Linked DNA regions of Callithrix jacchus. The protein of the gene in region 1 purifies or fractionates together with the protein of each later gene. This does not show direct contact. Links are inferred from orthologs where the notes say so. Each region holds a gene or a part of one and is shown on either strand. Other genes may lie near its edges.

Region 1 (4,495 bases):
TTTATAGTAGAATGATTTATAATCCTTTGGGTGTATACCCAGTAGTGGGATTGCTGGGTCAAATGGTATTTCTGTTCCAGATCCTTGAGGAATCGCCACACTGTTTTCCACAATGGTTGAACTAATTTACACTCCCACCATACCACATGTATGCCTATGTAACAAACCTGCATGTTCTGCACATGTATTCCAGAAACTAAAGTAAAACATTTAAAAAAAAAATTAAAGTCAGACATGTGCACACATATGTGGATGCTGCTATTGTTCTCTTCATTGTTCTTTTTATTACGATCCTTCATGAGTCACCCTTCCTTTCCAGGTAGTGTACAGTCACAACAATTAAGACATTTGCGGCCACTGCCTAACTCCCCAATAAATCTCATGTCACTCATCAGGTTACATGTTATGATATAGAATCACCAAACTGTATTCAACTCAGAAGAAAAATAATTGAGTTAGTAAGGGATTCAAAGAGAGATTAAGTCGTTTAGAGAACTACTGATAAAATTTCATCTAAAACAAAGCTATTTCTCCTAAGAAGTGATTACAGAAGCCCAAATGATATCCTTAAAAGATTCAACAGTGATACCTTAAATGTCTTACCTGCCAAAAAGCAGTTCCAATTAAAATGCAATAGTGTTCTCAAATCATCAGTTGTGCCACTTATATTTTGAAATGTCAAGTATATTATGTATGTACACCTTTGTGGGTTTTCTACATGGTCTTGCACAAGGTCCTGAAAGTATTGAAAATTCTTACCTGACATTATCCTAAACCACCTGGGTTTCTTGTCCCATATAATAAAGAGATAATATGCAGGCACCCCGGTCAGAGTGATGACGAAGCCAATGCCTGTGCTAAATGGGTCCGAATAGAGGGAAAGGGCAACCATGAAGAGGCACGTGAAGGAAAACAAAGCTGGGATGAACAGCGGGATCTGGAACACAGAACACAGAAAAAGCCACTTCAAACATGTTCAAGCCACAGAAGCTGGGTCTGAGATGAGCGTGTCAGTCATGAGACACACTTCAGTGATAAGCTGTAGTCATGTGACCAGGTGACAGGCACCAACGTGCCTCACCTTAGTAGCAAAATCTCTTTCATGGTACACAGATAATGTATCAAACATACTCCTTTAAATGTAACTCAACTTAATTTAAATTTTTTTTAAATATTTGGATAGAACAAAATCTAAGGATAAGAAAGGATATTTTTATTAGAGATGTTCTGTTGGAATTATTTTACTAGTTAAACACCATGACGATTTGTGATTTTGATTGAAAAAGATTGGCTCATTGATAATTATGATTAGAACTCACTTTAATGTGGAGTCAAGAGGACTGGCTGCTTGTTACATGTGAAAGTCTTTCAGTGCATATTGATTTTCTGTTGAGATTCACAATAAGAACTGACAGGAATAAAACAGGCCAACTCCTATTCAACCGCTAATAAAGATGCTGCCAGCATTAGGCAATGAATATTATTAGAAACAACTCCTGACAACATGACTGACATCATTATTTATGCTATTTCCTAAAAGCAAATAAATAGTGAGGTCAAATGGATCCATGAGCGTTCAAGTCTGAAGGAGATGACAAGCATCTTCTCCGGTCTCCAAAACGGAAATGCTTACTCATGGTAAATGGGCATTAGGTGGTAAATTTATAGGTCTTCTCTTTCCCTGTATACTTTACATTCCTATTCCTTTTAGAGTATGTAATATAGAGAAAGAGCATTGTAACAAGTCACAGCATTAAGTACTCAAAATGCCTGTTTTGTACAGCAGCCACCTTTTTGGAATTGGCATTAATGAAGTGTCTTCCTTACTCCTTGTCAGCAAGGCTGTCTACAACCCCAGCATAAAGACAGACAGAAGTCGCCCATACTTTGACTCTATCAGGTCATTGAACACATTCATGAAAACCCAACATGCCAAACATTTATTCATACCGTCATTTTTCAAAAATGTGAAAGACCAAGTTCAGCACATCACATAAAAATTTTGATGAACTATACTTTTCCCAACTTAAAATAAATCCAGTAGGAAAGCACTGCCTGAAAGAGTTAAACATTTTGACTCCGTAGGCTGCTGCCCCCAGCCCAACCTCCCCATCATCAAGTTATGACAATCGGAGGACTAGGTATTAGGTGAAAGATTTATGTAAACCCATCAAGATTGCTGAGGTTACCTTGAAAGGACGATGCATATCTGGGCATTTGTATCGAAGATAAATCAGCCCAGCAACTGCCAGCCCAATAAAAAGCCACCTGGCAAAACTGAGGAAATTCAAAAGACTGTCGAGGTCTCCAGAGAAGAGCATTATCATTGTCAAAGGGTGCTGAGGGGGAAAGGGAGAAAGGCCAAGCTTGGTGAATTCAATGAAAACACAGATGATAAATGACAATAACCTCGCTATGCATTATGATCTTTCTAAATGATTATGTATACTGATAAACCATCATTATGGTTAAAACCTGGATTTGACTCATCTATTTTCTATATTCTGCTGTCATAATCCATTTACACACCAGTAACGTTATGAGAGTGACATCGCCATTACACTTTATTCTAGTGGAATTCTATATGAATGTTGGTTCCTTTTGCATTTGAGAGAAGATCATATGTTTTCAAAGAGTAAAAGAAAGGGTATTTGATGACTCAAAATTGAAAGTCTCAAAGATTGGGATGATTAGTAAATAATCAATAATAAACAGTAAAAGAGACCCAACTGGACGATTTGCAGAAAGCTCTGTAAATGCTCTCTGATGAGCGCTTGGCTATCCACACACAGGAAGCACAGACACTCATAGGTGATTCTGTTGGCTCTTGGCAAAACTTGGCCTTTTTTCCTCCACATGTACTCTCCCCATGTGCTTGCCGTGTGTGACCCTCAAGACCACGGAGAAGAATGAAGCGCAGAGATCAGCTTAGCAATCTCTGCAGCTGCACATGCCAAGGACAGCATGACTGAGAGCAGAGGCTTAAAACGAAAGCCCTCTTCACGGAATAATACATTCTGTTCCCACAAGTGATGTTAACGTCCAGATTCTGCACAGAGAGTACGCATACTTTAAAAAGAAATTTCAAGGAAACATTCTGAAACAAATTAAATGCATGAAAAAAAATGTTCAGGGCATTCTATGGTGCTCCTGACAACAGATTCCAGTTGAGAGAAATGTTACAAAATCATCAGTAGAAATGAATATAACATTGCTAATGGGTATTTGAGGACTTTTACACCTTATACAGTCTTTTGTAGCTCACATTCACAAACACTTTTCTCTGCATAAAGAATTTTGCAACTCAAATTTACATTCTGGTGCTTTTATTTCATCATGATGCTGTGATTAAAAGTGAGACATTTGAGAGCAAATGGTAAAAGACATTCGCTCTCAGATGTCTCACTTTAGATCATAGCATCATGGCACTGTCTAGGATTTTATCCATGCTTTCAGTAATTTTGTGTGCTTTTCATTATAAGGTGCCTAGATCATACCTCTGGGTACTTTTTAGACTGTAGCTTTTTGTTCCACTTTCCTTAAGCAATTGGGATTTAATACTCTACATCATTTTCTGTGAGGTGCTACATCTATGAGAGGAGCCAAGCTAGTCATTTTCCTTAGACCTTACACATTTCTGCAAAGGTGAAAGAGAGGTGATGTGATTTTTGCCCCAAAGCATCAAACAGTCATCAGAAACATGGAGTAAAGAAAAGGGATGGAAGATACCCTGCCTCCCAAACTCCACCACAACATGCATTAGCAATGAATGAGAAGTGAAGTACTATCTAATGTCTGTTTGGAATTCGTTTTTGCTAACCTATTATTCAAGGTTATATCTATATATACTTGTTAATATGCATTACCAAAACAATAACAGCTGGCAGAGGAGTGTGCTTGTGGACATGAATCATGGAGAGAATTTCTGGAAGGTGACCCTCTCGAGACGCAACATAGAATAACCTGATGGGAGAGAAATGTGGTTGGAGTTGACTGCATGATTGATCATTTCAAAGGGAAAAATCCAGAAATCCCAGAGAAAACTTGCATCGTTTTCATACCAAGTTGTTCGGCATTTCTTAGGTGACTGCCTAAGTTTCACTTTTCAAATAAGGTGGAGAAACATCATAGGAAATCTAAATTTGAATTTTACAAAATCTGCCAACATTTTATTATTCTTTGAAGAGAAGGAATAGCAATATCTGACTGGGCATAGCTCTCCCTACATATAAACAGCTGATGGGGAATTTAGTTCTAGAGTCATAGTGTTATATGTGTGTCGTGATTCCAATTCAACAAACACACGCATATGCACATCCACAGGCACACATGCACAGGCAGCATTCGCATTTATCTGACTGGGTTTTGATCTTACATTAAAACATAAAGACTTTTACATCAAACTAAACAAAAGAAATACAGATGGTGGGGTGGTGATTTCTGATGTCTCTTACTTTACTTTTTTGCTGGCATCTTCAGAGAAACAGAAAATTAT
Region 2 (4,495 bases), on another chromosome or scaffold:
CAAAAATGTGGTGACTCTCCTATCCCAGATTTCAAACAAGAGCAAGGGCTAACCTGAATCAAAGCCACAAATGGACATTCTCCCAGAAGAAGTCCCACTTGATGATGGGCTCTAGACTCTTGTTCATCTTCCCTCTTATCAGTAGAGTCCTTCAAGAGGTACCACACCATTGTGTAGTTGAAGCCAATTGTATTGTCCTTGACATCTTCATCTATTTAATGGAATCTCTTTCTCTTCATCAGTACAGAGACTTAATATTGATTCCGAAGATCTTTGCCTGGCTTGGTTTTCCCCCATGGGTGTCCTCAGAGCTTCAGCTGCCATGTGCAAACTCATGTGTGCTGGGCCTAGCCATTCAAACATATCTTCCTTTGTGACAAATGGATCCACTCACTTGAAATATTCATTCCTTGGCTTTTCTCCCTTCATGTTTCTCCTTACATGAGTCTCCTTCTTAGAAAAATTCCCCCACCCCTCCACCCACTTCCTTTCTCTGACTATCCAGTTTTTTTTAATTTTTTATAAATCAGGTCCAGTTCACCTTTCTGTGATGCTATGGTAGGTGAGGAGGGGTTCTCAGAATTTCTTTAGCATTCATTATTAGTAACATTCATTTCACATCTATTACTTACTGCCTCACCCAGATATATCTTGACAATAAATGTCTTTTTTGCCAACTGTCCTGACAAATTCCTTACCTTCAGCTCAAGTGTTCATACCAGATGAATATGCATATCACTCCTACCAAGAAAACAAATTTTTGAAGAACCTCAAGTCCTTCAGGAAAGAAGACTGGTCTAAAACCAAGGGCTTATTTCCAGAAAAATAGTCAACAGTCACTCAGTGGATTTCAAAAAAACATAATATATAAAAATTTCAGAGGCTATTACCCATCCTTCTTCCTGCTTGATGACCTCGTCCCATGGGATGTGAGACTGGGTCGAAGAAATCAGTCCAGGAACTGTCCTCTGGGCTTGATGTCGTTGTTCCTTGGGTTGAATGGCTGGTGTGGGCTGAGGCTGTTGTGATCATGCAGTTCAAGCAATTGTCAAAGTGTTAATGGACGCTTGGTCAGGGGTACATTGATTTTATTTTTAAAAAAGACTTGATTCTCTTAACAAGACAGTGCAACCATCTTCCTTGTATAGAGGGCAAGGAAGTTGCATAAATGCAGAATGCTTCAGCAGGTTCGAGTTCACTCATGCTCATTTTCTTCTTAGCAATCAGCATGTGAACTGGAGGACACAAAAGCATTAACAACTCCTGCAGCGCAGAGAGGATGAGTTACAGACATCAAAGGAAGATGAAGGAGAAGTAGTTCTGGACCCATGCCATGCTGCCACAGTCCCCTGAGAGCAGAAGTATAAGAGCCCAAGTGCATGATGTCATACTGAGACAGCCATATTCCAGCCGAATGCACCTTAGGCTGGAAGTGATCTCAGGAAAGAAATCAAGTAACAGCTTTCCATGTGATCAACATGAAAGTCAATGCCGTTTATCTCAAAAGCATGAATGGAATCCATTAGAAGCATTACCTTCTAACAATGGGACTTATGGCATAAATGACACGTAAGACAGCAGCAAATGCCTGGCTTCATTCTGAGCCAGTGAAGAAGTATAGGTAGAAAAGATTACAATAGCATCCTCTTAGCAACAACCACACCACATAGACAGTCAAAGAATCCATTGATCTGCCAGGAATTCATTCAGAACTTGCCATGCCCCAGAAGGACATGCTGCATCACCTTCTATATTGCAAAGAAAAACATGGGACTATTTCTCACTGAACTGAGAATATGGAATTCACCTTCTCTATAAGGCAGGACAGATTTCAATACTATGTCACACAGACAAAAGAATTCTGCATGGGTGCTTGCAGAGCCAAGTTATCTGGCATCACTTAGAGATGATGATAAGACTTGATTCCAATTTCCACAATCTTACAATTCAAGAATAGAGAAGATGCCTTTTTAATACTGAAAAAACAAATTACAAACAGGCATGACCAAAAAGCCAAATGACATCAGACAGGTGTCATTTTTCACATAATGTCTGGCTCTGTTTCTTCAAAGTTTTGACAAAATGCTATATCACAAGAAAATACTTTGTGAGAAATCACATTGTAACTCTGGACCCACATTATAGAATATATTCCTTTGCATGACAAAAGGGGGTATTTTATAATGGCCTCTGCTACAATCTCACTAGAGGAAGCCCAAAACTCGATGTGAAAGAGACATTCTTAAGGGCATATTCTCTGTGCTTCCCGTTCCTATTCCTAATGGCTTGTATTTATTCCTGTTTGGGTAACTTGTTATGACCCTTTAAGATTTGGCTCTGTGTTAACTGCAAGATAATTTATGAAGGAACCTAACATCTTGTGACAATTCCTCCAGTGTCCTTTTGTTCGATGTCTTCAATGTCTACCATTTAACCCAAAAGGAAGTTGCCATCGAAATTTACTTGTTAAACCATCCATTACCAGCTGTCCCTGTTGTTGAATGGGAGTCTTCTCTGGGCGTGTGGAGATATCCCTCATGCCATCTGTTGCCAAACCACTGTTCCTTCTGGGTAGCTGTTTCTTCATTTGTACTACCAGGAGTTGCCTGGACTATGAGAAGAATATCAGTTGGGAGACAAAATTGTCTATTTCTATTTTCCTTGCCAATAGCTGTCACGTATCTTTCTACTTTTTTTTTTTTTTTTTTTTTTTTTGTAGAGACGGAGTTTCGCTCTTGTTACCCAGGCTGGAGTGCAATGGCGCGATCTCGGCTCACTGCAACCTCCGCCTCCTGGGTTCAGGCAATTCTCCTGCCTCAGCCTCCCGAGTAGCTGGGATTACAGGCACATGCCACCACGCCCAGCTAATTTTTTTTTTGTATCTTTAGTAGAGACGGGGTTTCACCATGTTGACCAGGATGGTCTCAATCTCATGACCTCGTGATCCACCCGCCTCGGCCTCCCAAAGTGCTGGGATTACAGGCTTGAGCCACCGCGCCCAGCTGTATCTTTCTACTTTAAGGGCAGATACACATGGAGCTAGAAGGTAGAAAAGAAAGGCAACAAAGAAACAGGCCACTGATATTCTAAAGGGGATATTAGAAATCAAATGATCCAAACGTTTAATTTTTCAGATGTCAAAATTGTGGTCCAAAGAGGTTTTGATTTGTTCAAAATCAAAGTACTAAGCAGACCACAGTTGATGAATTCTCATAGTTCCATGAGTTATTATTTTTATTTTATTATAGTATATGGCATCACATACCCTGTCTGAGAAAACCATTCAAAGAATAACCTCTTTGCTCCAGTCATTTTGAGGAAAGGAAATACTGTACAACAACTAATGACAAGATCAGTGCATTAGGAGACCTTCTCAGATGGTGGTCCTGTAACCCATAATCACACACAATGGAAAGGCACCAGCAGTGGATTTGCCCAGCAGGAAAGGTGATGGGATGGCTTGGATGCTATTCCACTAACACATTGTATAGTAATGTCCACACGGCATCCAAAATTACTAAAATCACTTTTTAACAAAATTAATTCAGTTAACAAAAACTATCCAAGCTAGTCTGAGGCATTATACAAATAATAGTGTGTGACAGGCTTACAATTTCAACCATGGCTTTAAAAAGGACAAAATCAACAGAATAAAGTTTCATAGAGGTGCCTTCAGGAAAAGTCAGACACCAACATTTTTGTCTACACAACTTACAGCAAATTGTTTTTAGTTGATCAAGAAAATGAGAGCCTGTAAACTTGCCAAGTCAGAGTATTTTTTTGCAACTTGTAAAAATGGCTGTTTTTCATTATCTTAGAAAATGATATGTGTAATTTGGTGACAGCAATGACATTTAAAAAATAAAGCATACCATCCTCATTTACCTTTACATTGGCCAAGCCATTCTTGGGTAACTGGTTATCCAGGGGGAGGGGAAGAAAAGCCGAAATCTTTAAGTTTTACCTCCCACTGGCTAAATCACTAATTCCCAACAAGAATGAAGTTGGAAAAACCACTGAATGTAATTACCAGAAAAGGAAAATTGACCCAAATATATACTGCCGTGTTACTCAAAGTTTAAATAAAAGAAATAAGGAAGTGTATGTGTGTGACTGTACAGAAGGACTCTATAGTCCTTCTATCACTACTTTTATAAACATACTGATTTTTTAAGTACCTGTAACCCTTTATTATTTTCAGCTTAAATCGGAATGGGTTAGCAGAACATATGATTTCTATCCTACAAGATGAAGGTTGACTTTCTTCTAGAAGTTGTGATGTTAATTTGTTAAAGCCCAGAAGTTACCAATCAGATCCCTTTGAGTTTCGCAAATACTGATAAGAGAATTGTTACAGTTGTTGCTGTCTTCTCTTTGTCAAGTTACATTCTGTCTGAATTTTCACCCACCCTCTAGCATTAATGCCCCAAGCACCACCTTCTGACAAGAGGCTCATTATTTTCAAGTCTCTAAAGTAGCTTTCTGGTCTTTAAGT

Evidence for each region.
Region 2: the proteins of SLC7A11 (region 1) and CD44 purify together in Homo sapiens (affinity purification with western blotting; 3 studies listed by BioGRID and IntAct, with this or other methods). This does not show direct contact. The link is inferred for Callithrix jacchus from reciprocal best matches to the Homo sapiens genes SLC7A11 and CD44.

The regions. Positions count from the first base shown.
Region 1 is NC_133504.1:58,856,215-58,860,709, reverse strand, and holds part of SLC7A11 (cystine/glutamate transporter), read right to left. Parts: intron 3,964-4,495; coding exon 3,867-3,963; intron 2,340-3,866; coding exon 2,190-2,339; intron 938-2,189; coding exon 760-937; intron 1-759. UniProt on the Homo sapiens protein: Heterodimer with SLC3A2, that functions as an antiporter by mediating the exchange of extracellular anionic L-cystine and intracellular L-glutamate across the cellular plasma membrane.
Region 2 is NC_133511.1:100,549,237-100,553,731, reverse strand, and holds part of CD44 (CD44 antigen), read right to left. Parts: intron 2,612-4,495; coding exon 2,483-2,611; intron 1,350-2,482; coding exon of another isoform or gene 1,294-1,349; exon of another isoform or gene 1,051-1,293; intron 1,020-1,050; coding exon 891-1,019; intron 1-890. UniProt on the Homo sapiens protein: Cell-surface receptor that plays a role in cell-cell interactions, cell adhesion and migration, helping them to sense and respond to changes in the tissue microenvironment.